Linked DNA regions of Lytechinus pictus. The protein of the gene in region 2 purifies or fractionates together with the protein of the main gene of each other region. This does not show direct contact. Links are inferred from orthologs where the notes say so. Each region holds a gene or a part of one and is shown on either strand. Other genes may lie near its edges. The genes, in order: RNA 3'-terminal phosphate cyclase-like protein and ribosome biogenesis protein BMS1 homolog.

Region 1 (16,982 bases), on a different chromosome or scaffold from region 2:
AATCACGTTTATGAGCAATTTAGGGTCTGACATGCACTTACATAATGTTGCGTAATGTCGTAACCGCGTATCCGGGCGTCACAAATTTGGTCTCAAAATTTGTGCGAGACTTGAAAGTAAAAAGTCAGTGAGCGGCGAGGTCAAAAAATTTTGCGCAGCGGATATATCGCGAAAATTGTCGAGGGGGGGGCCATTATGGCCCCCCCCCCCGGGAGAATTAGGGTTAAGGGTAAAATAACTTTTGTTGGGTACATTTCTATATTACAGCACAAAAAACAAATTAAAACGGACAGAAAAATATCCAAGGCAGATGAGAGGAACATTGAGCCCATTCAATAGGCATCTATTAAAGGCTAAGGCCATGGCCTTTGGTTAACCTGTTGGAGACCAAGTCAGCATATGTGGCCTGGAGTAGATGCAAAACATGTGTTATATAGTAAACTCATTGGCCCGAATTCACAAAGGTGGTTTTGAAAACCCACGGTTGAGTCCATGGTTTATGCACATTTCCTGTATAAATTACGCTTAATTTAGCGCGTATCGGGCGCGTGTATAAAACATGTCCAATGCTGATGCGCGCTTTTGTCACAGTGCGCCAAATTGACGCCTCTTGCCATGGTTATTCACGCTATTTTATTCATGAGTCCACTGTTTTTATTCATGAGTCCACTCTTCAAACAGTGGACTCATGAATAAAATAGCGTTTATAATAACCATGGTCACAGGCGTCAATTTGGCACACTGTGACAAAAGATCGCATCAGCATTGGACATGTTTTATACACGCGCCCGATACGCGCTAAATTAAGCGTAATTTATACAGGAAATCTGCATAAACCATGGACTCAACCGTGGGTTTTCAAAACCACCTTTGTGAATTCGGGCCATTGAGTCTTACATTGGTTAATAAAAGGACTGCATTATGACAGTGATATATATTCAAGCAAGCAACATAAGAGCAAAATAGCAGAGTTTAAATCTACATTCCCTAATGCAAAACATCATTTTTCCAGCTAAAAACAATGTATTGCTGATAGCAAACCCCATTCCAGGGCTAAATTAACCTAAAAATCACGGCTGGTCTCAGATGACCCACTGACTGCACTCTACACCCATTTAATTACCCTTGGACATATTTGGTGCTATTTTAAATTCCCATTTTTTGCTGAAATGAAGAAATATGTCCCCAAAGAAGAGTGGCTTTGCCCTTGAAATATTAAAATTTAAGGCCTGCCATCCTAATCTGAATGATTTCTAGTGCCTCTGAAGTCTCTTCCCCTACCTTTAGTTCTAATCCTTCATCGATTCCAAATTTCCTGAGGACAGGGAATGTCACTGCCTTGATCACATCGACCTGCAGATAGAGAGAGAAAGAAAATTAGTTTCTATTCAAATTTCACATTCCATATCTCAATCTCTTACATGCTCCTCATAGTCATATTGTACATTTCCTTGTAATTTGTAAAGTGATTACACAAGCTTTTGACCATTGGAATTCCATCATTGGTCGATTTGATCAACCTTGACACAGATTTAGATTCCAAAGAACGTGGAAGTGTTTCATGAAAGGACTTGCCAGATGTTAAATCATATGATGTACGTTTTATGCAACAATTACCATCTAAACAATATTAGACAAATGCGCTTCTAAGTTCAAAGCGAATCGAAAATACACAAAGATGTCGAATCTGATAATCTAACAGATGAAAAATATGGATTCAGCGATCTCCAGAGTTATTTCTGTTGATGAAGGAATTAGCATATCATTTAGCCAAGCTTGACTGAGAAGTTAGGAAGTAGAAGTACAATGACAGCATTTGATTTCTTGACTCTGTCATTTCAGAGAATGAGACGGTGTCATAGTACTTGACCAGCAGAAACAATATTTCTGCATTACATCTTAACAATATACATAAACTGTTCCTTTGCTCTTCCTTCAACTCATATCAATAAATTAAAGAACATGTGATTGTTATTAATTTTTCTTTTTCGCTTAATGTTAAATAAAAAAATGATAGCAATCACAACAACATTTGACTTTAGTTCTATGAAAGGAATTGCATAATCTACAAAAAATATGCCAAAAAATATTGCCAAAAATTCTTAGTTCAAAGAAAAGACTTTCAAGACTCCCAATTTAGTTGTCTTATACTCACTGTATAAAGCAAAACCCACATTAAAATTCTTCCTCCATTTTTGCTACAAATCAGTCTTGACTGGACAAAGTTTCACTTACCGAAGGGTCAATCTGGTCATTGGTCACACCCCTCAAGACAGCCTTGACCGGCTTCTTACCGAACGGAGCGAGACAGATCAAGGCTTCCATGTAATATCCTAGAGCCCTCTGAATGTTGCAATCATGTTCTATGCTACCTCCTACAAGAAGACCAGGCTGGTAGCGCACTTGGGTTCCTACAAGAAAACAAAAAAATGAACATAAGTTAGGTGCCTGTACCACTACCACATATCTAATTAAAGGTCCTGTTGCATTGTTCCGTGCAAGCCTTGTGGGTAAGTTGCGGGCAATTACCCGCAACTCACCCGCAACAAAGTTCTGAGCATGTTCAAAACTTTTCTGATCAGACTTGTGTGCGCTTCTGCGGACAACTGCGAGTGAGATGCGTGCAACATACTGTCAATGCAGTCGACCTGAGGTCGTCCGCAAGTCACGCACAAAGCTTGCATGGAGCGATGTGACAGAGCCTTTGAATATTGGTTGTGAGGCTGATTTCTATGATTGATCATACACAATAGAAATCATAAACCTTTATGTCAGAGGACCCAGTTAAAAGGGCACTCCGAGCTGAAAACAATATGATTTGAACAGGTAAAAAAAAAATCAGACAAACAAAACACTGAAAATTTCAAAACTGGACAAGGAATAACAGAGTTATTATGACATTTTATTTTTTTGCATTATTTACTTTGGTCAAACAGTTTTATGCATATCTTCATGAATATGCAATGAGCAAGCTGAAAATATCATATCTCCACTTATTGTTTTGTATTTTACTATATGAAAGTATGTTTATTCACATTTTGTCCTACAGTCCTCATCTCCTCCAAGAATGAACAAAATAAGATTGACTACTGATTTAATATATAAGATAATAATTGTTGCAACTATTATTTGTAATCAGGGAGACATACACACACACACACACACACATTAATGAAAATATGAAATTATTAGAATTTCATGTAAACATAGGAAAAAGAAGTGTTGGTACATGGCATCATCAGCCAACCTATTGCATATTTGTGACGGCGTGCATATAATTGTTTTTACAAAATATTGATGAAAATAAAAATTCAATACCTTTGTTATATGTTATAAGATTTTGAAAATTTTTAAGAGTTCAACTTCTGCTGAACGGGATCGGTTGGTTTTCCCATGCTGATTATCGGTTTGTCAAAATAAACTATGAGGACAAAGGGATAATTTCAGTGCATTATGAGATCTTATAAAAATGGGAAGCGGTGATTTGAATCTTACCTGTCTGGTTAACTTCAATATACGATCCATTAGTAATCTTATCCAGAAGACGGATGAAGCTTGCTTCAAAGTCTGACAAAAGAAATAATAGTATATTCATATATTTACATCAAAATGATAATTACAAATATATTTTACAATTAAAAGCTCTGGGGCCAAATTGAGCCCATTTGTGAGCTCACACATTCTTAGCAAGAACCTTGCTTTTATATAAAGACAGTCAGATAATTATAGCTTAGACACCTGGACTTTGTCTGTTTGGAGATGTTTTAGTTTTTTTTTGTTACTCCTCCTGTACACAGACAGCTAACCACCTTAAAATCATAAAATTCCACCAATATCATAAAAATCGCTTTATGATACTTATCGGCCGATGCAAGAATTTTACGATTCATGATATTTATCGGCCGATGCAATTATTTAAAAAAATCCAAGTTGGCAGCTAGACACGTGTGCGGTATCTACATGTAGGTATCAATAAAGAAGGCAAGATGGCGACGAAAACAGACTGGGTAAGTAAACACTCATGCTCTTCATTATTTTTCAAATATACTACTATTTATTGAATAAATATATGCAATGTTATCAAATATTGTTTTGGCCCATGTACGTTAGTTTGGGCTCAAAACGATAAGTAAAATGTGTGATTTAGGTCTAGTTTCACCGTGGGAAAACCTACGGTATATAGAGAGCAATGGTATCCCGACCCAGGCTTCATGGAGAGTAAGCCTACGTACAGTAGAAATACTTTTAGGCCAAGTAAAAAAAGATAGTTGATCGTCCGGGTTTTATGAGAGCAGTGATGAGGGAGGTCCTTACTATTTGCTATCTTACTATTTTCTTTAAAAACAAGGAGGCATTTTGTCGGGCCATTTTTTGACATCAGTGATGAGGGAGGTCCTTACTATTTACTAAATTTTTTGCTATTTTTTATTCAAATGATTGACGCAAAAGTTAAATGTATCACGTAATTATAAATAATTATACTAATTATTTATAATTACGTGATAAATGTTAACATTTGCGAAATATTTTTTTTCTATAAATTATTAATCAGAACGGCATCGCTAGCCGGAAGTACGTCATACATAAGCCATTCAAGGGTTGACGCTATTGTACTTACGTTGTTTACATGTGGATTGAGGGGTCTACTCGACATCAGTTAGGTCAGAAACCTTAATTTTTTCACATTTTTATATTATAATTTTTAAAACCTTCCTACCCATTAGGCGTAGGAAGGTGTAAAAATCAACAATGAACTTCATAAAATTCAAGTGATTTTTTTCTTCAAAAGATGGATTTCCGAGGGAAATCCATCTTTGTTCTGGTCCTTCTCTTGAACTGCGACTAAAAGTATGGGAAGAGTGTCAAGACGTCAATGATGAAGAAGTATATTTGATTATTTTAAAAGTTATCATCATTGCGTCCTCAAGTCAAAACTACTTTCGCACGCAGTCCGAAGGAATTATTTCGGCGACCACGTAGTCATGACGTGATCTGCGCGATTGGCCAATCAGCGGTCTCCAATTCGCTGAGCCGAGACGGTCTATCCGTTGTTGTACACAGTACAACAACGGATAGACAATACACCACAGGTGGTATGTACGGCATAATCGTGATATAGTCCCCAAATCCAAAAGTGGGGATTATTAGAATCACACCTACCAGAACGCATGAAAATCACTTCCTTTCTCCAGAACACAATCTCCAACTCTCGCACAACTCTGTGGCAAAATGATAACACACAAATGAAACACATTGTATATAAACACTAGGGTTCTCTCCCTATTATATACTCGTGATACAGTCCCCACTCAACGGGAAATCAAGCTTGATTTTCACGGCGGTGGGGACAGTTTCAACAGTATAGTATACTCGTGATCCAGTCCCCACGCTATGGGATACACGGTTCACTTTGCACGCAGTGGGGACAGTTTCAACAGTATAGTATACTCGTGATCCAGTCCCCACGCTATGGGATACACAGTTCGTTTGGCACGCAGTGGGGATAGCTCCAACAGTATATTATACTCGTGATACCGTCCCCTCACAACATAAAATTGTGCTCGTTCAACAAGGGGATGGGGACAGTTTCCCGATGCATTGTGACAAGGATAAAACATTTTAGGGTATGGCTGCGGAAGTTGAGGGAGGGGGGGGGGGGACTTCAGCCCCGCTTCAGCCCCTACCTTTTTCCAAAACATTGTGAATCATTCTGAACTAAAATCCTATATAAATGCCTTCATATAGCATAAAAGTGCAAAGTATAAATTGTAATATAAGTTCAAAGTCTTTTTTTCCAGACCCGGTTAATTAAAAATTATAATATAAGTCCAAAGTCTTTTTTTTTCCAGACCCGGTTGTTTCAAAAATTATCATATAAGTCCAAACTAAGATACCATAATGATATTCCAGTGGAATAAAAATTAAAAATCGAATTTAGTCTTTTCTCCAAACCCAGTTATTCCAAAATTATAAATAATAATACAGCAACAACAACAACGTTATTCTACATCAATAATATTAGGGGGGCCTTGGTTAATTAATATTGTTTGTTTTTATTGTTACTCATGATTTCCTATTTTGAAATAACTGGAGCAAAGACTACACCATATTTCTGTGCTATTCAATGTTGATAAGATTTCAGGGTTTTTGTTTTGTTGTGTTTTTAACGATTTTTATAACTGGGTCTGGAGGAAAGACTACGCTATATTTCCATGTTATTTAACAATAATAAGAGATTGGGGATCTTTGTTACTTTTTTACTCTTTAAGAAATGATTTGTAAAAGTGGGTCTGGAAAGGAAGAAATTACAACAATTAATGCGGGGGGAAAGCACAAGGCTCCAACAGCAAACTCGGAGTGGGGGTGGGTGCAAGAATGAATGAATTAAGAATGACACGAAAATAGTCAACCACAAAACAATAAAGGAATCAATACAAATATGTGACGGAAATGAAAAGGTGCAACAATAATGATAATGATGAGGTAATTTTATAATAAAGAATAACAATATTTATAATAGTGATAATTATGATTATGATAATAAGGTTAATAATAATAATAATAACAATGGTAATAATAATAAAAAATAAGAATAATCATTGTTATAGGAAATAATAAAAGAATAATAATAGTAAAGCGAAATTATCATAATAATAAGTAAAAATAAATGACAGTAAGAAAAAAAAGAACAATAATAATGATGATAATAATTATGACAATAATACCAAACGTTATGAGTCTACAGCGATTTTATTTGAAGGAATTACGTGAAATACAAGAAACGGAATGGATGGAAGGGGCATATTTTCAATGATAAAGAATATCTATACTAATGATATCATTATTTTGATAATAATAATAACAACAATAATAATGATAATAATGATAATATAATATTACCAATAATGATGATGATGATGGCAATAATACAGGGGCCGCGGAACGGTTTTCAAAATGGGGGGGGGGCTGACCATGCAAAAAAAATCATAATCCCATGGTCACATTTTTACGTTTATGTTTTGGAAAAAGGTGGGGGCTAAAGTCCCCCCCCCCCTTCGCGGCCCCTGTAATATCCAAAGGTGCTTTTTCCTTGTCACAATGCATTGGGAAACCCCCCCCCCTCCCCCCAGCTTCCGCAACCATACCCAAAGGTGTTTTTTTCCTTGTCACAATGCATCGGGAAACTGTCCCCATCCCCTTGTTGAACGAGCACGATTTTATGTTGTGAGGGGACGGTATCACGAGTATAATATACTGTTGGAGCTATCCCCACTGCGTGCCAAACGAACTGTGTATCCCATAGCGTGGGGACTGGATCACGAGTATACTATACTGTTGAAACTGTCCCCACTGCGTGCAAAGTGAACCGTGTATCCCATAGCGTGGGGACTGGATCACGAGTATACTATTAAGCTTGTAACCGATTTTGCAATCGGCAACCGATTCCATTCGATTTCACCACAATCGGCAATCACTTGCCGATCTTCGATCATGCTCCTTGAAGGAAAAAATCGAGGTGCTAGCTATTTAGAGGTCGCATTATTCAGGGAGAAAGACGCGGTATTATCTATGGCGATGTTTAAGAGGATAGATATCTTCTCTTCCAACTCATGGTGATAGCGGATGCCGCCGTGAACTTTGAAAGGTCGTATTACCGACGGAGCTCACTGCGTTACTCTCTTACAGTATTGCTCGGAATAAAGTTGACACCCTTCCGAAGGGTCACGCATCTACCGCGAGACAGGCGTGACCCAAAAAATTACCACCAGCCGATTTCGCGCGTGAAATTCACGCGTCAATTTCACGCATGCAGCTGGCAGAAGAGAGGCCCAATGCTCACGTAAAACACGAGATTTTTTCAGATTTGATCTCTATTTGTTCATGTAGTTTGCGCCTCAACTCTAGGCACTTTTTTGTCAAAACACGACGCAATCCCGATGCAATCCCGTCGGTTTACTGATGGATGGTCTATTATCACTTGGTCTAATCATCAGATGGGCTAACAACATTCGGGATAAACCCACTTAGTCCAATTCTCTTTTAATTCACCATCCCGTCATTTGCACTTCAAGATATTCAACCCGATAGACAGCGGGTTGAAAATCCTAAATTCCCAATAGCTAGACAGCGGGTTGAAAAACTGCCTCAAGCGCGCGCATCAGACGAGTCCCCGCTAGAAATCCATGTGCCCAGCTCCTGACCGAGTGACCCAGTTATATTTACATCTTTGGCTTAAAGGACGAGTAGATTATCTTTCCACTGTTTATTTGTGGAGCTAGCTCCATGGTTTATTTTTCAGTGTTTATGTTATCAAAGACGTCTTCCGTTTTAAGGACAAGTCTTGCTTTTTATGCAGGTTCCCTCATATTTCACTCTTTTAAATTGTCTTTAATTCCAAATCGCTATTTTCTTTAATTTGAATTAATTGTTGTCTGATTTGTATTCTCATAAGTTTTCTGATATTATTTTCATAATTTTGTTTGTACTTGTGAAATATGTAAAATAAAGTCAAATCAAATCAAGTAGATAATCTTTTTCTATCTTTTATTTTTTATCTTTTGTTCTTCAATTCTGTAATTTTAATCGGGTACGTATTTCATTCAAAAGAACGAGTATTTTCATCATTTTTCTATTCATCATTCAAAGAAGAAGATTCGCTTTCCATCATTTTCTGTTCATTGTTTTTTTGTTTTTTTTAATCAGTAATACATCGTTCATTTAAAGGACGAGTTGATTTGCTAACCATCATTTTCTGTTTATCAATTCTGTTTTTTCTTCAATTTCCTCACTTACGTCTTTTAATCAAAGATTCGCTTTCCATCATTTTTCTGTTCATAAATTCTGCATTTTTATTTTATCAGTTACGTCGTTCATTCAAAGGACGAGTAGATTTGCTTACCATCATTTTTCTGTTCATTGATTGACCCTTTTTTCATTTAATCAGTTACGACGTTAATTCAAAGGACGAGTATAATTCATATTTGAGTTTTATTATGAAGTTATGAAACAGAGATTTAGAATCAAGTTAGAATTAATCATAGTTATAGAACATTAAAAAAAAAACACAACCAATGAGATGTGAAATCCATTAAGAATGGAACAGATATTACTAGATTTGCTAACCATCATTTTCTGTTCATCAATATTCTGTTTTTTTTTTTCATCACTGACGACTTTTATTCAAAGATTCGCTTTCCATCATTTTCTGTTCATTAATTCTGTATTTTTATTTTATCAGTTACGTCGTTCATTCAAAGGAAAGTAGATTCGTTTTTCCCAATTTCTGTTCATCATTATTCAGTTTTTTTTAAATAATTTCATCATTTACGTCTTTTATTCAAAGAAGATTCGCTTTCAATCATTTTTCTGTTCAATTCTGTATATTTTATCAGTTACATCTTTCATGGCAAGAACGAGTTGATTCCTTTTCCATCATTTTTTGAGTTCCATCAATTCTGTGTTTTGTTTTCATTGTTCATCAGTTACGTCTTTTATCTAAAGAAGAAACGCTGTCCATCATTTTTCTGTTCAACAATTCTGTATTTTTATTTTATCAGTTACATCGTTCATTCCAAGAACGAGTAGATTCACTTTCCATCATTATGACGTTCAGAGCACGAGTAGATTTGCTTTCCATTTTCCTGTTCATCAATTCTGTGTTTTAATTTAATCAGTTTCGTCTGTTTATTCAAAGAACGAGTAGATTTGCTTTCCATCGTTTTGTGTTTATCAATTCTGTGTGTTTATTTTATCGGTTACGTCTTTTATTCAAAGATGATTCGCTTCCCATCATTTTTCATTTTTTCGCTATCAATAACAGTTGATTTTATACCCAAAGATATTAATTAACAATATCATCATCATCATTTGTATATTTATTCTCCTCATTCAATTCTTCTTATGTCTTTCACTTCTTTTTGTTCCTGTTCTTCTTTCTTTACCTTTATCTTTACCATGTTCATTCGTTCATCCACCATATCATCTGTTGCTTCTCTCTTATCCTTATCTTCTTTATCCTTTATTTCTTTCTCTTAGCCGTCGTCTTCTTCCTCCTACTTCGCCCACTTTTCTCTTCGATCGGCTATCTTGAACCCCCCCCCCCCTTCCCGGAAAAAGAATACCCGCAAGTGGCCCTTCTTTAAATGCCTAGCATCAGCACTTTCTGAAAAATCTTATTCAGTCCCCCCCCCCCCTTGTATCTTCCTTAAATATTTTTTTTGCATGTTGTGTTACTCTGTTCCCTTTCTCTCCGTCCATCATTCCAGCAACAGCCTCCCCCTACAAGTAATATATCGTCTTTTTACGCCCGCCCGTATAAGACGAGACGTAACTTGGTATCACGCTCGGTATCCGTCTGTCCCTCCATTCGTTAACATTTCCTTATAAACATGATAACTCCAGTTTAACTTAAAGGGATGGTCCGGGCTGAAAATATTTATATTTTATTACATAGAATAGAATTCACTGAGCAAAATGCCGAAAATTTCATCAAAATCGGATAACAAATAATAAAGTTATTGAAGTTTAAAGTTGAGCAATATTTTGTGAAAACAGTCGTCATGAATATTCATTAGGTGGGCTGATGATGTCACATCTCCACTTTCCGTTTTCTTATGTTATTACATAAAATCATAATTTTTTCGTTATGTCATACTTGTGTGAATAATATGTCTCCCTTATAATGAAATAAGTTGCAGCAATAAATATCAATGCACTAAATCAGTTGTCATTCCAATTTTTCTACTTCTTGGAGGAAAAAATTTGAATAAACCTCATTCATATAATAATATACAAAAGAACAAGTGGAGATGTGACATCATCAGCCCATCTAATGAATATTCATGACGACTGTTTTTCCCAAATATTGCTTAACTTTAAAATTCAATAACTTTGTTATTTGTTATCCGATTTTGATGAAATTTTCGGCATTTTGCTCAGTGAATTCTACTTTATTTATTAAGTTATAAATACTTCCAGCCCGGACCATCCCTTTAACCCGAGGCTTATATTATTTGGTGTGTATATGATACAAGCGTCAAAAGGTCAAGTCACCACCTTCCACTTTTTTTGCTTGACCAATATACTCCATTTTCCGTGTAACCCGAGCGAACACAAAAAACATTGACAAAATATCAAAAAAAATGTTTGGTAAAACATGAAAATGTTTAAGGGAAATGTTAAAATCATATAAAATGTATGGTTTTCTCAATGCTATAATACATTTTCCTAACGTTTAGCATTTAAAACGTATTTCCCTAATGTATTTTAGTAATATTAATAAAATGTTGCAATGATATATTTTTACGAATTGACTCGTTTTAATCCATGTGCATATTATCTCTTGCTAATTTGTTTATTTATATTCATTTTATGTTGCCCTGTGTACTGTTCGTCTATATAGAACAGACAACCTGGACTTATTGTAATTGTTTCTCTTTTTATCAAGAACAGGTGATTTTATACAGAAAAATATAATTGATTTTCAATATCAACATCTTCCTCCTTATCATTTTTCTCATGGCCATCATCGTCACTCTCATCACCACTCCGGGCCCCCAAATGCCGACTATATTGGACAATTTGGGGGTGGGCATTGATCATAGACTGGCTTAATCACTGATCAGTGGGCCGGCTTAATACATGTTCTATTCAAACAGTTACACAAAAGATCATTGTGTAACTTACAGTCTTCTCATTGTTAGCTGTTCTTTAATCTTCACACCTCTATTCATTGTCCACAAAACGCGCCAGACGGTGTAATTAATTGACCCCAGTCAAGTCCACATATAGCTAGGGTTGTTCAATTCAACCACGTTTCAAGAGTAATTAATATACGAGTAGACATTCCTGATCTTATCTAATATCTGTATAAAATAATGTACACATTAGATAGGGAAGATTGATACTGAAGAAATAAAACAATGTAAGAGTCTTGTACCGTCATATTATACATGTATGACTGATGGAACGATTGAAGTTAAAGAGAAATGCGAGAGAAGAAAGGAAAGAATGATCTGAAGAAATAAAATAATTAAATGTATATAGACTTAAAAGAGATTGAACAAGAACGGTAGAAGAATAAAAGATAAGACAATAACAATTGATAGTGAATAAAATAAGAGGATAGACGTAGAAGATATTCAACAAAAAATTAAGAGCGATAGAAGAAAAGAGGACCGGAACTATTGATATTGAATAATAAAATAAAGGGATTGACTTAATAGAGATTAAGAGAAATTAAGATATATATATATAGCAGGCGTATGTGTACGTGTAGAACAAGAGAGGTTGATACTGACTAAATGAAAGCAAATGATGGATAAATTGGAACGACTGATAAGAAAAGAAATACATGTAACCCACCCCCTCACCCATGCTGATGCCAGGCCGTCCTCGACTATACCCGATGTTCAAACTAAGTTTGTCTTTCCACATTTCTAGCTGATTGTTTTACTTTAATCATTTTTCATACACATTCATGAAAAACGTACTGCGCAATTTAATGTCATTTAATTGGATATATTTCTTTTTTTTATTTAAGTATACTGCCACTTCCGGACATAATTGTTTCCATTATTGTTTTATTGCTTGGTTTTCCCTCATTCGCTCCCTTAATAATTTTAATCACATCATATCACTACTGAAGTTTAGGGGTGGATCCAGCTTTTTCAACGGGGCCCGGGGGGTTGTATGCTTATTCAGTAAAATCTTACAAGTTGATAAAAATGAGTTTCACTCCCAAATAAAGGTAATATATTCCACGAAAAATCTGAACATAAAAGCAAAAAGAAACCTAAACGAAAAAAAGTCAGTTCATGGCCGTATGCAGCGGGGGGGGGGGGGGGGGGTGGGGGGATATTGAAAACTTAATATTTTATTTTTTTTACAAAATTAATTAAAGGCATGCACGAAATGCTTCAATTGCCCTTTACAGAATGGAAAGACGCAATGACAAGCTCGGTCACTTTTCTCACTTCCTTTCAATTTTTTTATATTTTATGCATCTTGCCCACCCCCCCCCCCTACCCGCGAAAAATTTCTGCATACGGCCATGGGTCAGTTCACTTATGTATGTCCGATATTTACCACAACAAATATTTTAATGACTCTCGATTGAAAGGGGGAGGGTGCTTATGCCCCCCCCCCATCCTCTACGGCTCAAATTCACATTTTTTTTAATTTCAAAATTTTGCTTGTTTCGATTTCAAATGGGATTTTCAATTTCAGAAAAATTTTCCTTAGTACTTGTTCCCATTCTTTATAAAGTTCTCGCTATGCCTCTTAGAACTTGTTTTATTTTTTGTAGTATTTCTCGTTGATATTAGGCATAATCTATTTATTTTATTTTACTCCTAAATCATACTATAATTAAAAGAAAAAATCCATCTCGTGCGAGTACTCGTTTATGCTTTTGCAGATACCGTACCAGAAATGCACGAGCTCGAAAGAAAATCAGATTGCTTGAACTAAGTTACAACAAAATCACCAAATAGAAAGTATTTCGTGCTTTTTGTGCTATCCCGGTGATTGTTACTGAATCTAAACTCATTCTCTTCGGTAAAATGATACAGGTATTGTATTTTTTTAATGATGGACGTCCATTTTAGAGACAAAATCGGAAGTATATGCACTGTCACTGTCCTCTCTGCCTCTGCTCACATGTACCGCCTACTGGTACCGTAGTGTACCGTACGATGACTACCTAGCTTAGCTACCGTATACTATTCTCGTACTAGTGACCGTGTGATGGTAGCTAGCTAGCTAGTACTAAGTTAAGTAGTACAATTCTTCAAGACTTGGTTAAGCCCAGGCCTAGCGTTGATCGTATACCCATATATGCTTACTTTGTCTTTGTAGCAATGCAGATATCGACGAGTGAGGGATATGTTAAGCACATTACAATTACAAGCCTTCACAAGGCACAAGCAATTTTAATAATGTTGATTCTACTCGATTGTCATAATGTGAATGTCCAGTCAGATCCTTTTTATGCCCAGTCGCCATATTATTACCAAGTTAGTAAAGATCTAGTACCACTAAAGATCTATTTGAGAATATCGACTAGGAGTAGGATTGTAGATCTAGTCTAACCCATGCTCATGATTATGACAGTGCAGAGCTCCGATTTACCTCTATTCTGGATATGCTATCATAAAGAAATACGAAACCTGCATCATTGGACTGAAGAAGAGTAAGTCTACAACATGCAAATACTAACGTTATGTCTACATTTTTTAAAATACAGACAGCAAATTAACAATTACAATGTAAATGTTAATTTGCTGTCTGTATTTTAAAAAGATGTAGACCTGACGTTAGTACGTGCACATGGGCGAATTTGTAAGCAAACATAACCGAAGATATAATACTTACAGTTAATTGACCTGATGTTAATCAGGCCAATGTGATCCATTGTCTGACTTCAGTGGTTCATCTTCGTGCCTTCAGGCTAATCCACCGTTGGGTCTTAGTTAAGACCAAATCTTTACTTATATTGACAAATATACATCTATATATCAAATCAAATGCATGTTTCTAAGGAATGATAAGGGAAAAAATGAGTCGAGCAAGCATTAGCGTACCTACGGGGGGGGGGGGGGGGCAGAGGGTACAGACTGCCCCCCCCCCTGATGAGTCACGACCCATGCAAGAGACGTATCCCTGCCCCCCCTAACAAGCGAGCGAGATACAGATGGCCCGCTCCTTTGAACTTGAAGACCTTTTTTTTGTCAATTTTTTTTCTGATATGAAATCCATAATTTGTGGTTGAAGCCCTTTATTTTTCTTTTTCTTGTCAAAATTTTTCCTGGTATAATATCTTTTATTTCTGGTCGAAGACCTTTTTTTTTTTGCTTGTCAATTTTTTTGACGAATTTGCCCCCCCCCCCTTTGGAAAATCCTAGGTACGCCACTGCGAGCAAGAGATGACAGCAGAGGTGACGTGATTCAGTGAGAGGAGAGAATATAAAAACAATTCTGAAAACTACCATTCGAACAATGAAGATTAATAAAAATTGATAAAGATATATGGTTATGACAATCGGGTGACAATAAATTGACACTTAATTTTTTTTTTCTTTGTTAATTCATAAACACCAGATTGAGCGTCGCATAACAAAAAAAAACACATACACAGAAAAAAAGGGATTCAAAAGGATTGAGAAGAGTGGAGTAGAAAAAAAGGGTAGGGATCGAGGGAGAAGTGAGCTGAGATAGCGATAGAGTAGAAATTCAAGAGTGAGACATGGGTCAAATGGAAATATATCAACATCAAAAACGATAAAAAATAAAATATGAGGAAACAAGGGAAAAGAACACTGATTGTAATTAAGCATAAGTCGAGGACATTCGTGTTGCAATCAAATTAAGCCCTGTACGTCCTGTGTTTGTGTGACTGGATCGAGTGGTGGGAGAAAAAAAGGAGTTTATCATTCCTTATATCATAATGGCGGAAGAATGTTTGGCAATAATGCACTGAAAATATGATGAAATTAAATCATTCTGGTTGCAAACAAAGTAAGAGAATGACGATAAAGGAATGTAAGGAAATAAACAATAGGTCTATTTTTTCCAGCCTCGGCGTCTCTTGCTTAATCTAGCCACCCCGCCCCCCTTTCTCTCCATTTTCTTTTGCTCTCTCTCTCTTGATCATTTCCCCCTCCATCTGTCTCTCGTATCTTTCGCTCTCTCCTTCTCTTGCTCGACTCTGTCCATTCTTATCTTGGATGCTCCATTTTCTTATAACTATTAACTACTTATCCCAGAAAGTACGCGATCTCATCTCGACCCGACTTTCATTCAACGAAGTTCAGAAAGATGTAAATTTGAGGGCGATGACACGAGCGTGCATTAAAATTGTGCACTCGCGCCAAGCTCAACAGCTCTATGATTTTTTTTTGTTTGGGTTTCGAGGAGACGGCATCTTACGGCAATAAGTTGTTGCTGTACATCGTAATTTCGAGAGACATCGCGGCAAGTCAGGAGGGCTAATTCGAGCCATGTGAGTTGTCCAAATGGTGACATTTTATTAATTATCAAATCAATATCTCTTCGACAGAAGATCGTCCCTCCTTCTGCGGTATTATCGCGGTAATACACGAGATTTTCAATTAAAAATCTCGTGGTACATTACCGTGGTAATTTCTCTCAGAGTGCGACTCCCGCCGATGGAAATTTGCTGGTGGTAATCGCGCGCGACCCGATTTCACATCGACTTACGCGGTACAGCGCGGTAAAGCGTCAACTTTATTCCGAGCAATACTGTACATCGTTTATGATTATATACATTTTATTTTCAACCTCGTGGTGATAGCGGATGCCGCCGTGAACTTTGAAAGGTCGTATTACCGACGGAGCTCACTGCGCTACTCTCTTACCCCCTTTATAATGATATAAATCTTCTCTTCAACCTCGTGGTGATAGCGGACCCCGCCATAAACTTTTAAAGACTGTACTATTGACGGAGCTTATTGCGTTACTCTCTTACATCGTTTATGATGATATACATTTTATTTTCAACCTCGTGGTGATAGCGGATGCCGCCGTGAACTTTGAAAGGTCGTATTACCGACGGAGCTCACTGCGTTACTCTCTTACATCGTTTATGATGATATACATTTTATTTTCAACCTCGTGGTGATAGCGGATGCCGCCGTGAACTTTGAAAGGTCGTATTACCGACGGAGCTCACTGCGCTACTCTCTTACCCCCTTTATGATGATATACATCTTCTCTTCAACCTCGTGGTGATAGCGGACCCCGCCGTGAACTTCAAATTGATTTGAAAACGCTAGCTACCCAAAACATTTTAATAACATATTTCAAATCATCGTGCGTGCTTGCGTCTTCTACTTCATTTTAATTGCACTTGCGACTTTAAGATGATGCGTCGTAAGAGATCATTCCAATAATTCTAAATCGCTATAGCACCTAAAAATACTCCTAAAAGATGTCCCGCCGATCGTTCATTAACCTGTGATCTA
Region 2 (16,598 bases):
AGTCTATTTATACCAATCCCCAGGACCGTACGCTCGAACGCGGGAACAATGGGTGGGCACTGATCCGTCTTTCACCACAACTCAAACGCCGATTAGAAGGTCACGGTATCCGAACGGTTTTCCGCTCGGACACCACCCTACACAAACAGCTTGTACACCCCAAAGACCCCATCCCTGATCACAGACGTGATGGCGTAGTATACAACATTCCTTGCCAGGGATGTGACGGGTCTTACATCGGTGAAACAGCCCGACCGATAGTTGAACGCATTTCTGAACACAAGAGCGATGTTCGGTTACAGCGAACCGACACATCCACGGTGGCAGAACATGCTTGGGAGAAGCAACACCACCCAGATTGGGAGGGTGTACATTGCGTTGCCAAAGAAAGACATTGGTATACACGCAGGATTAAGGAGGCTATTAGTATACATCTTTGTCCTAACAACTTCAACAGAGACAGCGGGATCGACATCCCCGATTTCTGGATGCGAACCATCTGACAGCACAATACCCCCTTACCTGGCAGTCACGCCGACCCGATTGTTCCCGACCCCGATCCAGGGACCGCTCAGCTAGTCAACCCCCACCCACGGGAAACTAGCGAGCCCGCCAATTTTGTCTTATTTGCATATTGCCGACTTACGGCGTATTTGCATGTACCTCCGGCTTATTTGCATATACGCCCGACCAATCACATAACGGATCAGTGCCCACCCATTGTTCCCGCGTTCGTGCTTACAGTCCTTGGGATTGGTATAAATAGACTTCGTTATCAGATAATTTTCGTCACTTGATAAAGAGTTGCAGCGGCACTCGAAAGCTCGTGAACTTGTAAGCTAGTGAACACTTTTTGCGAGAGTGATCACAAATTTCCTAGAAAGCTAGTGAACACTTTTTGCGAGAGTGATCACGAATTTCCTTGTTGACCATAGTAGATTGCGAGACAAATGAATACCCTCTAGCGATTAGGTCCATATATTTTCTAAGTTATGATGACATTTCAAAAACTTAACCTTAGGTTAAGATTTTGATGTTGATTCCCCAAGTTCACTAACCCTAAATGACCTTTGACCTTGGTCATGTGACCTGAAACGCAGGCAGGATGTTCAGTAATACTTGATTAACCTTATGTCCAAGTTTCATGAAGTAGGTCCATATATTTTGTAAGTTATGATGACATTTCAAAAACTTAACCTTAGGTTAAGATTTTGATGTTGATTCCCCCAACATGGTCTAAGTTCATTGACCCTAAATGACCTTTGACCTTGGTCATGTGACCTGAAACTCAGGCAGAATGTTCAGTAATACTTGATTAACCTTATGCCCAAGTTTCATGAAATAGGTCCATATACTTTCTAAGTAATGCTGTCATTTCATAAACTTAACCTTAGGTTAAGATTTGGTGTTGACCCCGCCGCCGCCGCCGTCGGAAAAGCAGCGCCATAGTCTCACTCTGCTTTGCAGGTGAGACAAAAACCGTAGAGTACGGGAGAGGACCCAGTATCACAAATCAACTGAGAATGTTCCGTGGGGGAGAGAAAAAGTGACTAAAATTAATTCCTAATGATTTTACCCGATACAATTGTGACAGGTCCTTGGATTGTGGCTAGGTTCTGATGAGTGAAGTTCTTTACGAGGCAGCGGATTAATGTTGTCTTCCCGACCTTTGGAGGACCAACGACAGCCACGACGACAGGAGGCGGCTCGAGTGGCGTGCGATCAACGACTGGAATATGATGCTTCTTCTCCTTTATATCAAGTGTCCTGAAAAAAAAAAAGAGTTAAATGGAAAAGTGTAATTTGAAATCTAAAATCTAATATTCATAGGTTAGAATCACAATTAAATTTTTTGTTCAAAAATTGTAAGATGATCCATATCTTTCTTTTAAATGCATTTTCTTTTTGGCACACAACCAGCTGTAAGACATGGCATGGGGCAGAATTTTTAGGAAAAAATAGCTTTGTTCATAAACAGAATTCTGTTAATGTAAACATTAAATCTTCAACAAAAATGTTTGAAGTTATAAAAAACACAATTAAACATTTCCAGAACGGGCTCTCATTCTGATCACAGCCTCCCCCCCCAAAAAAAAAAAAGAAGAAAGAATTGATACAACTGAAAAATAAAAATCATACAGAATCAGTCTGAGAAATGATATAATGGTCACATGAATCATACTGTAGTTCAACCTAATTCATATTATTGATCCTTATATAATATCATCAGAATTTAAGACAGGCTTTAGGCCTCAACATCGTAATATTGCTACAGGCGCTCCAATGCAACCAACTCCGAACTGTTTGTCTACCGGTAACATAATAGCTTTTGTCAATCTGGAGTCAGTTTCACTTGCGTGGCTGTAGCATAAGGAAACATACCTGCGAACTTTGCGGGCTGTCTTATTCACAGACTGGATGGCAAAAGCCTTAGGATTGCGTTGACGGGCGGTCATGTTTTCATCAACTGGTTTGGTCCTTGCTTTCTTCTTCTCAAACTTCCTCCCAGCTTTCTGCTCTCTATGACTCTTCTGAGGTCTCTGCTCGTCCGCCATTTTGATTTTTGGTTGGTTGAATTCTCCAAGATGTGATCAATAAAGGCACACTGGTCTACAAAAAAAACCGAAAACACAAAGGGAACAGAGTAAGATTTATGACCAGAACCTGTTGCATAAAAATACTATTATGGTAACTTCGCCATCCAATAGTAACTTGCATTGAATCATTGATTTTGATTGGCTGTTGATCAGCGTTACCATAGGATGGCAAAGTTACCACAATAGTAACTTTTATGCAATGGGGCACTGGATAATTAAAAAGTCAAAGTGTGGTAAGAACCCAAACACAATGGCCCATATTCTGAACTCCGGTCTGAATCTAACTCTGGTCGAAATTGTTGTATGACTATGGAAAGCCAATTGTGACACATATCAATAATAACACAGATTGAAAATATCAGATCATATGACTCAAATAATTTAGAACTGTATGAGAATGAAGACTAACACAGTTGTATCCACCATTAAAACATAGTGAAAGAAGAAAGTAAAAATAAGGAACAATTTAAACAAATATTTGACATTTTCACAGCTTGTCATAATTTTAGCAGAGTTAAATCGCAGCCTAGTTAAACATGCATCAATTGGAAGCCTCTGGGGCCTGTTGCATGACGAGATGAGCGATACGTAGGAACGTCCTAGGACCATTCTTCCGAGATAGGAAGATTGGCGACAAATCAGCGCTTTCCGTTTCACGAAGGCAATTTTGTCTTCCAAGTCCGCGACATCGTTTGATATCGATAGTATTGGAAAAATATTTAGTCTTCATCGTCACCTGAACCTTTTATTTCTGAATGACGACTTTACATAAAATCCGATATTTCAATAAAAGGAGATCAAATAATGTTTTATTTATTACTGATAGTAGAATTGATGTATGGAGCTTACTTTATGAGGTAAAAAGAGAAAAAACTTTAAAGATTCACAAACATAACTAAATAAAATCGAAATTTTCATTATTTCCCTTAATTAGAACACGGTGTCTTTTTAGAGACACCTTTTATTGATATTTCAACGAAAGAGACCCTTGTCCGACATAAAAATTGATTTAACTAAGTAATTTCGACATTTATTAGTTAAATATCCTGTATTTTTATAGAATACTTGTATATAATGATAATTTTGCAAATTATGCGTTAATATGTTATTTGTTAAGGTAAATATAGGGTTTGAATGGAGTAAATAAAATCAACAGTGTCTGATTGTATGAGACTAAAAAGGAAAATATGAGAGGCTGCGTGTGAAAAATCTAATTTATTTATTTTATTTGTCAGATATAACGCAAGAAAAATGTGAGTGTTTAGAGTATAAACATACCTCAGTTGCATGGTGAGTAACAGAAGAAAATGAAAATATGAAAATTGCTGCAAACATGTCCAAGTGGATAAAGTAGTACTTTGCAATAATAATTAAAACATAGAAAAAGGTGTGAATTAATCCACAATGGAAAAAATACTTTTACAGAAATAATGCTAAATATGACAACGATCATAAACGCTGGTCATATTTAAAGATGATCACTTAATTTATGGAAGTTTATATAAGAATATAAGGTTTAAGAAATAACATAAAAAATATATATGTTCAACATTTCAAAGTTAAGGAGTATAGAGACTATATACGCTATGACATAAGGGCCGAAAGGGGCCTACCCTAAGATTTAAAATGCGCCTCTTCGTATGGACTTTCCATAATCTTTTATTTAATGAACTTATCTTCATTTGTAATGATTGTGATGGATTCGTAAGCTATAGGCTTAATCTGTATCTTAAATTCAATATTAGCTGCAGGTTTTTTGTTTTGTTTCACTGTTTCAAATCCAACAATTAATTTTCATTGATTAAAATAAATCTCAGCAAAAAAAAATAATTATAATGAAAATAAAATAAAAATAAATAAATGATTTAGCATGTTTAACATCTTAGTTTTGTTTGTCTTTTTTTTTTGCTGAATGTTATTGAACACATTTTTTACCTTACATAATTTCTTTTAAAGAAATTTGTTGTTTATCTATAATGAGAAAGCATGAGGGGTCAGCTAAAGAGATATAGGCCTAGTGCCGCCCATTTCAAGTATTTCAAGTTTATTTTTTTAATAGAAAAGGGGTGGGGATAAGACGGAGGGAGAATAGAAGAAAACATATTTAAAAAAATATTTGGCCCTTTATACATTACCCCCGGGAATATTACATGTACCCCGGAGAAGTTAAAATGACATCCCGCGTTTTTGGTCGTCCTGCCGTGCAAAAAGACGACCTGAAATTGATGACAACTAGCCCCCATATAAAAAATAACTTGGCGCCATCCCAGATAAAATGCATCAGAGTGCAACCAAAAAATGTTTAGAGGTGATATGTCAGTGTGGCTTGCCGTAAATGCATTTTCTCTCAATGCCGACGGTGGCGGGCGGTGTGCAAAGAAGATCATGCCTACGTAGGACATGTCTGGAGGTGTCTTTCCAAGGACCATTCTTCGTATCGCCCAAATCGGCTTTGTGAAACAGTTGAGCGATATCTCGTTCTTACGTAGAATGGTTCTACGAAAGACCCTTTCATGCAACAGGCCCCTGGTTTACAAGAGGCAATTAACAACTCTGATAAATTATGAGAAGAAAATATGAAATACAACCTATTCTTATCACTATAATTGATTTCATTGATCATGTCGACAGTGAAATATGGTTGGTATGTTTGAGTACCAGTAGTTCATGGGTTCTGTCATTAAGGTTAGTGAATCAAGAAATGATAAATCTAGACGATGGTTTGTAGTTAGTAACCATCGGCTTTAATCAACGTATCTCGGCTTTTTGTTATCTCCGATGGGGGCGCTCTATGCAAAACATTACAGACATAACTAGATGAGCATGGCCCCAATGGGAAACAAAAAAATTAAAGTTGTTAACATTAAACTCTTTACAGATAAGTTTTTCTACATTTTCATCCGAAGGACGGTCCAGAAATGACCAAGATCACCCATTTAATTTTGGGACAAAAAGTGCTCTTTTTATATCTTTGATAGTATAGGCACCAATCATGCCAGTCAGAAACCAAGGATAGTCTTTCCTCACAACATATTCTCCAAACATGAACAAGGTGGAAAGTTAATTCACCTGGACGTCAAGCAGGGTGACCAGACGTCCCGTATTTCCCGGGATCGTCTCGTATTTTGCTCCTTTGTCCCGGCGTCCCGACAAACCCTTCCCGGGACGCCTATTTATCCCGTATTTCAGAATACTGAACAAAACGAAGTCAACACATTTAAAAGTGACGAATTTTCATCAAATAACGCAGATGACAAAGCAGAGACAATAAAATCGATAACTAATCTTTTGCAAGTTCTGAGGTGATTTTCTTGCTAACCCAATACATTGCAAATGAACTGGCCTCCTGCCTGTGTGAGGCAGGCTAGCTAGGCATGTAGCGTAGGATCGGAGCAGATTCTCAATGCAAACAATGACATGATAAATGGTTTTTCCACCAAAATAATCACAAAAGCAGCAGGAAATTTGTATAATTATATTATGGATTCTCAGTTTACTGATTTGGAGATGTAATCGGAGGAAGAAGTTATTCAGAACTAGATCTAGTTGTTTCAGATTTCGTTTTGAGTCTTGTTGTGTATGATGCCGCGATGTTTCATCTAATTTTCAAGTTGACAATCTTTCATTTGAAATTTTATCATTATTTCCTATCTTTTATTCCTGATCCTTTCTATCTCTCTCTGTGTTCATTTTTCTTTCTTTCCTCCTTTCTCTTATACCTGCCTTATTTATTAATTTTTTTTTCCTTCATTCTTTCTTTCCTTGAACTTTTTTTGGCTTCCTTCTCCCTACCTCTCCTTTTTCTTTTTGTTCATGCTCTCTTTCCATTATTTTCTTTTTTTATTCTCTCCTCCCCTTCATTCTTTCCTCCCTCTATTTTCTCCTTTCTTTCATTCTTTATTTTATTTTTCCTTCTAATTCCTTTCCCTTATTATTTCTTTCTTTCCCTCCCTTCCTTCCCTCCTTCCTGTTTTTTCTTCTTTCTTTTTTTCTTCCTTTCAAAGAATGAGCGAAGGAAACATTTTTCGTTCCTTCATTCGTTCTTTCTTTCCTCCTCCTTTATTCTTACTTTCTTTTTTTTTCTCTCCTTTATTTTGTCTTTCACACATTTATTGATCTTCCCATCGTTTCTTTTTCCTTCTTTCTAATATATTCAATTCAAAGAATGACGGAAACCTTTTTTCTCTTTTATTCTTTCTTTCCTTCTTTAAATTAATTCTAACTTACCTTTATTTTTTTCCTATTTTCCCCTCTATTTTTTCTTTCTTTCGTCTTTCTTTCTCTCCTTCATTCTTTTGTTCACCCTTGCTTCCAATTCTTTATATTTTTTCACAAGTCTAACACTGTGTGGCCTTCTTTGTTGAAGTTTGTCGATTGTCCCGTATTATTTTTGTGAAATCTGGTCACCCCGACGTCAAGTGCTAACTTAAGTTAGAGTAACAGTATTGAGTGTGCCAAAATTTACTTAAATACAACTTCTGTGTGGGAGGTTGGGAAGGTGCAAGCATGCATTGCAAGTCAGAAAGAGAAGATGCAGTGAACTAGGCGAGGTGACTTTTTAACGAGTTCCGCACAATTCCAGCGAAAGTCGAATCGGCAGTCCGCGGGAATTGCTGGCGAGAGTATGGTGCGGAACCGTGGCGTTGGCATGGTTGGTCTCGTCACACTGTTTTTGCGAGAATGAAAACCGAGGAACATGAGGAATGCAATTCTATTTAAGAAAAAAATCCTAAACCAGCAACGCTACTTCTACATTCTTTCAAATTAAATATCCAAGTCATCCTTAAGGAGACAATCATTACTAGTAAATGGAAATCTAATGGAGAATAGAGTACTTTAAATTTAAAATAAAACAACTTACCGGAGTTAAAAACAAACGCGATCTTCCACGGCACGCACACGTGTGTAATTATAGTGTATGGTGGATTGGTGGTGTCTTCAAATCGCAACTGCATGGAAAATCATCGCTGTGAAAAGAAATTAGGGGGCCTTGGCTGAGCAGAGCTGGAATGCCATATAGGGGTGATAGGGGGCCGATGGGGGGGGGGGGGGGGCGGGGACATGCAATGCCACAAAACCAAGGAAAATTAAAAGAATTCAGAGCTGTTTTTCACAGGCAGGTGATGTGCACATGTACAGTTGAAAGTGTATCAAAGTTGCCAAAATTGAATACAAATAGTGTTTACTTTAGCCGAGGCCCGGAGCCGGGGCTTTCAGATGATGTCACAGTGCACGATAGAGGACAAACAATAGACCAGTTCATAGTTACTTCATGCCCAGGGGGGGGGGGGGTACTTGGATTCGGTTTGGACGGGGGTGTGAGGCTGAAGGTTCCTAACCCATACCCAGTATTACAGGCCATTTTGGCTAATAAATTTTAAACCACCATGTCACTTATAGTACCAATGACCTTCTTCTGATCATGCGCAGAATCTTCTGATCATACCGAGTGGAACCACGAACTGGCTTAATGGAAACCTGTGTTTACATACAATGATTTATCACAGCTAGTTTGAACTGTCCTCCACTGTGACATTGTAAACGCTTATATATTCTGGTGCATTTATAGGGTATGTGGAAGATGAGACAGATGGTCATGATCAGAGAATGATTTGTTTATGTTATTGTCTTCGTTTAGGGTCCATTTTAACAGTTCATGATGTGAGCATGGTATCCACCATATTAACTTTCTGAAGGGCGCACGTTCCATGTTTGTGCTGGAACCAAAGTGGATTGTATATAATGGAAACATCATGTGACATGAGTACATAAAGGGCCTCAGTCATTCGCCCTTAGTAACTCAGTCATGTAGTAAGGTGTATGCAGTTTTGCCATATGTTACGCAAAATAATTTCTGTATAAAAATCATTAAGTGCACTGGTAAATTTAATTTCAATTTTCTGTGAAAATATAGTACGATGATGGAATTGATATTACAGGAGAGCAGCTGCTTGCAATGTGACATCAAAATAATTAACTGATATACATTTCCACCAAACCTTCAATAATATGCTCCTTTAGTTTGTCAGCTTTAATTGGGCGACTTGATGCCGAGATCGAAAGCAGCTTTATCCCTTAACGGGGAAGCTCACTCAGATGTTCGAAAAGCTTGTTAACATACCCGAAAAAATAGTACAAAATATTGGTGAAGGTTTGAGGAAAATCCATTAAAGAATAAGAACGTTATTAGAATTTCAATTTTTGATTTGTGACATCATATACAAGCAGCTGCTTCATATGTTTTGTATAACATAAAATGAAAAAAAATTGTAATGTTTTAATGGTTCATGATGAGCTTATTTAAAATAATTTGTGTTTTGTTGATATACTGAAGGTACAATAAAACCCATTTTCAATTTCCTTGAGAAAATGAATTTCATTAGATTTTTTAATATTCACAATACATGGGAAGCTGCTTGCATATGATGTTGCAAATCAAAACAAAATAGAATTCTAATTACTTCTTAAATCTCTGAGGGATTTTCCTCAAACATTCACTGATATTTTTGTATTATTTTTCCTGCCATTTTTACTATAAACTTTGTTGTCAGAGTGATCAACATCCCCTTTAATAGACAATTTATACAAAGCATTTTTTCTAAGCTAAACTGTGATGGGATGTGCTTTCAAGTACAGAAAATAGTATGATCTTCAGTCAATTGTCAATTGGACTTCATCTACTTTGTCTACAACCAGTTCATCTGCTAATCATTTGAACTAATTTCTATAGCCCACTTTTTTTCTGTAAAGCTACATGAATTTGATCTAATATCCACTCAGTGTAACATCACTTTACCTCAGTCACATTTGCTCTAAGGCGGCCGTACGGCGATTCAAAAACTGAAGTTTAAACATTTTTGCACCAATTACTTAAGTTACACATGGTTTGAATAAAAATGAATAAAACGGCTGTTTTTTACTCACCGTACGGCCGCCTTAGAGTAAATGTGACTGAGGTATAAGTCTATAATAACATGGTTAGATGAACAGTTTATAAACCAAATTTTCATTTGGCAAAGCAAGCAAAAGCTTGAGACACCTGTCGGGGGGGGGGGAGAGAGTCAATTATGATAAGCAGTGGTAGTACCAAGCTTATTGTATTTTGCACACCCCCCCCCCCCCCAAAAAAAAAAAAAAAAAAAGGACATATTTTTTTCTTCTAAATAATAACTTCAGTATTCTTCTAATGTAACAGCTGTTTAGATGCTTGAATAACAAGTACCAACAATTTAAAAAGATTAATTGCCATATATATACATGTAGATCATTAACAAATAAACTGACAATAAAACAAGTAACTCAAGTAATGACTTAAAAATAACGACAAGAATAAAATGTCAAATAATTTGTAATGTATTCTTTAGAATATCTCTCTATACAAATTTACATAAATTAAATTCATGTAATGATATCACGGAGCATTTCATGAAAAGTTCAGTCAGAGATTTTCAATGACCATTGCTCTCTACCAATCAGATGAAAGGATTTGCAGTAGCTTATAACAATAGCAAAATCAATGACTATTTGTTTCATGAAAGGCTCCCCAGGTATAAAATCAAACCTGACAGCACAGAGCTGAAGGGCTACTCAGTAAAAATATCTTCCATCAATATTTGAACCGTTTCATAAACACTTGTTATAATAACAAATGCACAATTTCTATAACAAATGTACCATCAGCCGATCGGATTGAAGGATTTTGATAGTTTTTAAAAGTTATTGCAAATTTGTTTATATAACAAGTTTTATGAAACGGCCCCCAGGTCACGTGACTCAGACTTTGACCAAGGCAAAGGCCAGCAGAGTGTGACCATGGCTGCAAAAACTTACTCTCCCCTTGATATACTAGCTGATGAGCAGAGTACATGGTTGTTCATTTCACAAGATCATTTGAGAGCAATGCTGATCAGTGGAACCTCAGTAAAGGGCCCTTCTGCAAAAAAGTTACTTTGATAGAACTTTGCCATCTATTGGTAACTACCATGGTTACAATGTTCAACAGCCAATCAAAATTAAGGCAAGAAGTTGTCATCGTAATGGTTACTTTTGTGTGTCAGATTATTGACTTTGCCCAAGTCCAATTGCTTATGAGTACAGAAATAAGTTTACTTCAGTGAAATACAAATTAGGTGAATTACAGAGATGCATTTTGCATACTCCGGTCTGGTCTGTTTTTTGTTTGTTTGTTTTTATAATTGACAAAAGACAATCATTTTATGTATGGAATATTGAATTTGGAAGCAGACTTAACTGTGTATAATAGAATGAATGAAGAAATAAGGATATACAAAAAGATATATGACCTTGGCTTGAATAGATACAGTATAAGCAGAGACTGGAAACTTCAGCCTCTCTATTCATTGGTTGTTCCATTAAACCCATTGGCTCCTATTCTGAAACCTGGTTTAACCCTTAAACCATGGTCTAACTCTGTGCTAAAATTATGGGAAGCCATAAATGTCAAAATTTTGTTTACATTGTATGTTTCTTATGTTTACTAAGCTCTTTCCTCATTCTGTAATACTGAAAAAACTATCTTATCTATCCTTTCCACACTGCTATGAATGATTTGGGTGTCAAACGAGCTGATAAGTTGAACCTTTACTGTTAGAGATTTATGTCACAATTGGCTTTCTATAGTTGAACCACAACTTTAGATCAGAGTTCAAATTAAACCTGAGTAATGAATATGTGCCATTGTATACTGGAACCAAATGATCCTTGTGCAAAGTCTATTGGAATCTCTGAATTCAATTGTCAACAGGTTAACCAAATGCTTACTGGAACCGGGTGATACATGTGCAAAGTCTATTGGAATCACAGAAATCAGTTGTCAACCGGTTAACCCATTGCTTACTGGAACTGGGTGATATGTGTTCAAAGTCTATGGGAGTCTCAGAATTCAGAAGTCAACAGGTTAACCCATTGCCTACTGGAAGAGGATGATCCCTGTACAAAGCCTATCTGAATCAAACAATTCAGTAGTCAACAGGTTAACCCATTGCTGACTAGAACCGAGTGATACTTGTGCAATATGGGAATCTCAGTAATCAACAGGTTCACCCATTACCTACTGGAACCAAGCAGTCCCCCTACAAAGTCTATGAGAATCTCTGAATTCAGTAGCCAACTGGTTAAGCGAACTTCTGGATCCTGTGACACAATGGTCAGAGGTTGATCATACAGTCGACTTTCACAATTGACAGTAAACAATGGTCAATGCAATCAATCAATAAAATTTGCCTAAGGGCATTTTCACGGTAACTGACATTACACGGCACAATTTTACACACTTTTCATTGTGTGTATGATTCATCTCTACAACAACAAATGATGGGAGTTTGCTTAAAATGCCCCTAAGATCAATTTGTGATACAATGCCCTTGCTCTATGAACCTCCACACACGGAATGGTAAGTGTGGGTTTTTAACCCATTGACCCCTATGCTTGAGCTAGGGATGGGGTGAGTGGAAAATGTGTGTCATACTTAACCTCAAATGATATCATGTTTGATACATGTAGGTTTAAAAAAAGCTTCCCAGAGCTGCAGAACAGCTTTGACAACTCCCATCTAGCATAACTGGCAGATACAGTGTATGGTAAAATATCAAACTTACATCAAAACATCTTACAACAGTATAACTGGATGATTAAATACAATACACTGAAGGCAAAATATATAATTTGAATGTTTGACCATTTCTAGACCAGGGTCATCACCTGTTATTTTGTACCTATCAGTCTACCAAAGTTTATTAGAATTAAAGAGGCACTTAACTTGTTGACTACTGAATTCTGCAAATCCCATAAGATTTGTAGAGGGATCACCCAGTTCCAGAAGGCGATGGGTTGATTGAGAAGTCAAGAAAGAAAGGAGGACTATTTTGGAACGATCGACTTGAGTTTGAAACAAGGACAGTCTTATGATAAATGCCATGTTTTCTTGCCCAATGTTTCGAATTTTGAGAATCAATCAAACAGCTGATCATATGAATTGATTAATTAAAAAATTAACGACACTATCAACACATGCGTGTCATATAAGTGTCGGACAGTTAATGAAAAGCATTACAAGCGATTGAATGCTAACTGACCAAGCCTGGAACATGTGAGGTAATCACTACCATGTCTTTGACTGTCTGCACGAAGGGAGGGCAATAAGTATCTAACTGACCAAACTAAAAGTGAACTGCATTTTTCATTATGAAACAAATAAGCATAATATAGGGTATTTATTCGGATTTAACAATCACAATACATGCTAAAAATCTAGGACTTAAAAGTGGGGAGAATTTTGACAACGACAAGTTTTTGTTTCATCATATATGTAGGAACAACCATGCTTTAATCTAGTTTCTAAAAATAATAAAGCACCATATTCATGCCAGCTGTACTCAAGTCGGGATGATTGCAGAGCAATGGACACTGAATCAACGTTTGTTATGTTCAAGGACAAACCCAGCCATGATGGAAAAATCAGTCTACAGTTCTTGAGTTCTTGAACCCTCAATGGTATCAATCATTCCACCTGCCACTGCTTAAAGAAATCATTCCCCTTGTCATCGACCACGATAAAAGCCGGGAAGTCCTCCACCTCGACTCTCCAGATAGCCTCCATGCCTAGTTCCTCATACTCCAATACCTCAACTTTCTTGATACAGTTCTGAGCTAAGATGGCTGCCGGACCACCGATAGAGCCGAGGTAGAAACCACCATGAGTCTTACATGCCTTGGTGACCTGTGAAACAAGAGTAGGGAAGGGTAGAAAATCGGTTAATCAGACTTCTGAACTCTGGAATACCCTCAGGCATTGTACATGGACCACCCAGATCCAGTAGACAATGGGTTAATAGATTATAATGGCATGTCAGAGAAGCACCTGATTAAGCTGACCTCGAGGTTAGATCATCTGCCCCGCACATGGAAGGTTTCAGGTTCAGACCAGCAGTTGGTTAATACCAACAAAAATTTAGTCATAACTATTTCCTTCTTAGGTGCTCGTAAGTGCAAATGTAGGGAAATTAAATGAAAGGAACTACTACAAGGCCCAGATTTACAAGAGGATTAACCCGTTGACTGTTGAATTCTGTAATTCTCATATATTTTTTACAGGTACCAGCCAGTTCTAGAAGTCAGCGGGGTAAATTATGAGGGTGTACTCTAAAATATACCCAAATACTGGTAAGTACACATTGTCCCTGTATACAACTAATATAAATGGATCATACTCAGTATGCCTGCATGATTACTGTGGAAAAGATTAATATCACCCTATATACTTAAAAAAAAATAATAATAATAAACATAGTCCCAAATACAAGAACACAAATGATAGACAAGTTAAAACGAACAGTGTAAACATTAAAGATTAAAGGAACGCATCTTAACCCCCCCCTCGACAATTTTTGCGATATATCTGCTGCGCAAATTTTTTTGACCTCGCCGCTCACTGACTTTTTACTTTCAAGTCTCGCGCAAATTTTGAGACCAAATTTGTGACGCCCGGGTACGCGGTTACGACATTACGCAACATTATGTAAGTGCATGTCAGACCCAAAATTGCTCATAAACGTGATTTCATGTACAAATCCAATGCAAATTGTGTATTTGGCCAAAATTCATAAATGTATCATATTTCTACTTTTAATGATCAAACTTAATTAATTTTGCCTTGTTTATGATTAGAATTAAGTCTGGAACGATTTCCATTGAAAAAACAATAAAAAACAAAAAGTAAAAAAACAGGGAAATACATAAGAAATTTAAAAAACAATTAAATACATAAGAAATCGGTCTTGGTACCAGAATTTTTTTCATTCACAATTGTTAGGAATGCTATAAAGAATATTTTCACCAAAAAATAGCATTCTAGGAGCTTTATTTAGTGAATCAGAGCAAAAAGTAGGATTTCATGAATAAATTAGCATAATTAATTCATATAAAATAAAAATATATGAATTCAGTGAAATTTACCAATGCAACTGCGTAGATTACGTCATTCTCTACCATCATGCAAATTTTCGTTGTGATCGCGCAATCCACGGCTGAGATCTTAAGGGGGGGCCATAATGCCCCCCCCCCCCCCCCGGGAATGACAAGAATCAGAATACCCCGGGAGATTGAGGGTTAAAGGTTAAAATTTTCCAAGATGCCTTTGACCAAATCCACAAAGCTTTGAGCCTCACTAAAAATTCAATCAAGAATTTACAACTTTTCTTCTGTTCCCTTTGACCAAGATGTCTTGTAACCCCAATACAACAAGCTTTTAACCAAATTAAACAATCAAGAACTTACATCTTTACTTCGGTTCCCCTTGGCTAACATGACCTTTGACCCTCCAGCTGCCTGGAACGAGTTGACATAAGAGTCCATTCTTCCTGCTGTTGTAGGTCCAAAAGATCCAGACGCATAACCCTATAATCATGTGAAAGACAACAAATCATCAGACACAGTATTTTCTCACAAACTCTAACTAGAAAAAGATATTTAAGCCTATCACGCCATAACACATGGTCAAAGTAACTATGACACATTTTTTAACTAATCACATTTTGCATTTAATTTCAAAGTTCCAAAGTAAAATTTATTTGAACATCAGCAAAATGCTTGGAATACTAAAATCAGAGTTATGCTTTGCTGCAAGCCTTCTGGTCCGAGTAAAGTCTAAATCGTCTTCGAATTGCAGCCAAAGAGGAAGTCATTATGATTAGGATTTGAATCTGCTTCCGTCCTTACAGGGAGGCTAGAAATAAACTGGAATTTTTATTTAGTATTCATATCACGATTCAGAACTATCATCGTTAAGATTGCATAGGTTGAAATATCATATCACATGCAATTACAACTTCTTTAAAATTGGGTTGCAACAGATCCTGTAGTGTGCATCAGGCTGTAGTCATCATTAAAGAGTTATCTCCAAAACTAAAAAAATAATTACAAGGTTTGCTGAATTAAGACTTTTTTAATTCTCATGTCAACTTAATTGAAGATTTTTTTCAATGAGATTTATTGCTACCCATGTAGGATTATGACTTCATGGACATACAGTCATGCTTTACTCTGACACAAATGAAATTTTACATCACAGCAAAGATTACCTCCTGATCATCCAACCGTCAACATATACCACATAAAAATATTATATCAAATTATCTGAAAGTCAGTACATTTTCGGGACACATATAACAGTTGTGTGTTCATGATGATTGTTTTTTTCGTTAAATCAACGATTTTTGAGGTGGAAAGTCTTTTTCTGACTCACTAGGCATAAATAATGCATATTATCACTCAAGCACAGATCCAGGGGGTTGCTAAAGGTGTGAGCACGCCCTATTAACTATGAAAATATAATGGTGTACCCCATAGAATACCTTATTGCCGTAAAATGAGTGATGACCCTTTTTTTGGGGGGGGGGAGAGGCTTGTCATGCTTTCTGGGAGACAAAACATCCTTCATTTTTGACTGATTACTTTTTGGGGACGAATTCGCACCCCATAAAAGTCAGAATCTGGACTTGTGCCTGTCACTATTATTATTATCATCATTCTAACCTCTGGAGTCTTTGCAGGTCCTGCATAGTAGACTGGATGATCCTTCATGTACTGAGGAAGCCCTTCACCAGCATCCAACCGCTCCTGGAGCTTGGCATGGGCGATGTCCCTGGCCACCACCAACGTTCCGGTCAGGCTAACCCTTGTCCTGATGGGGTGCTTGGTCAGCGTTACGAGGATATCATCCATTGGTTGGTTAAGATTGACCTTGATGACATCACCGCTCAGGTCATCTTCCTGGACCTCAGGTAAGTACTTGATAGGGTTGGTTTCAAGCTGCTCCAAGAAGACACCTTCCGCTGTTATCTTACCAATGGCCTGTGTTAAAGATATATGAAGATTTTAGGCGGTTATTTCATAAAGCTGTTTGTAAATCAAGAGCGACATTTCTCGTGGTAAATGATATACATGTACTCCAGATTTTCATAAGTGTTGACTTAGTTCCTAAGA

What was found.
Region 1: the proteins of ribosome biogenesis protein BMS1 homolog (region 2) and RNA 3'-terminal phosphate cyclase-like protein purify together in Homo sapiens (co-immunoprecipitation; 4 studies listed by BioGRID and IntAct, with this or other methods). This does not show direct contact. The link is inferred for Lytechinus pictus from reciprocal best matches to the Homo sapiens genes BMS1 and RCL1.

What each region holds. Positions count from the first base shown.
Region 1 is NC_087255.1:7,776,306-7,793,287, forward strand, and holds the start of RNA 3'-terminal phosphate cyclase-like protein, read right to left. Parts: upstream 7,634-16,982; 5' UTR 7,494-7,633; coding exon 7,480-7,493; intron 5,220-7,479; coding exon 5,161-5,219; intron 3,568-5,160; coding exon 3,496-3,567; intron 2,412-3,495; coding exon 2,236-2,411; intron 1,354-2,235; coding exon 1,282-1,353; intron 1-1,281. UniProt on the Homo sapiens protein: As part of the small subunit (SSU) processome, it plays a role in 40S-ribosomal-subunit biogenesis in the early pre-rRNA processing steps at sites A0, A1 and A2 that are required for proper maturation of the 18S RNA.
Region 2 is NC_087258.1:1,713,948-1,730,545, forward strand, and holds the start of ribosome biogenesis protein BMS1 homolog, read right to left. Parts: upstream 7,546-16,598; 5' UTR 7,459-7,545; intron 2,611-7,458; 5' UTR 2,556-2,610; coding exon 2,383-2,555; intron 1,768-2,382; coding exon 1,577-1,767; intron 1-1,576. Other genes in the region: fumarate hydratase class I, aerobic-like, read right to left, coding at 13,117-13,335, 14,892-15,011, 16,149-16,466. UniProt on the Homo sapiens protein: GTPase required for the synthesis of 40S ribosomal subunits and for processing of pre-ribosomal RNA (pre-rRNA) at sites A0, A1, and A2.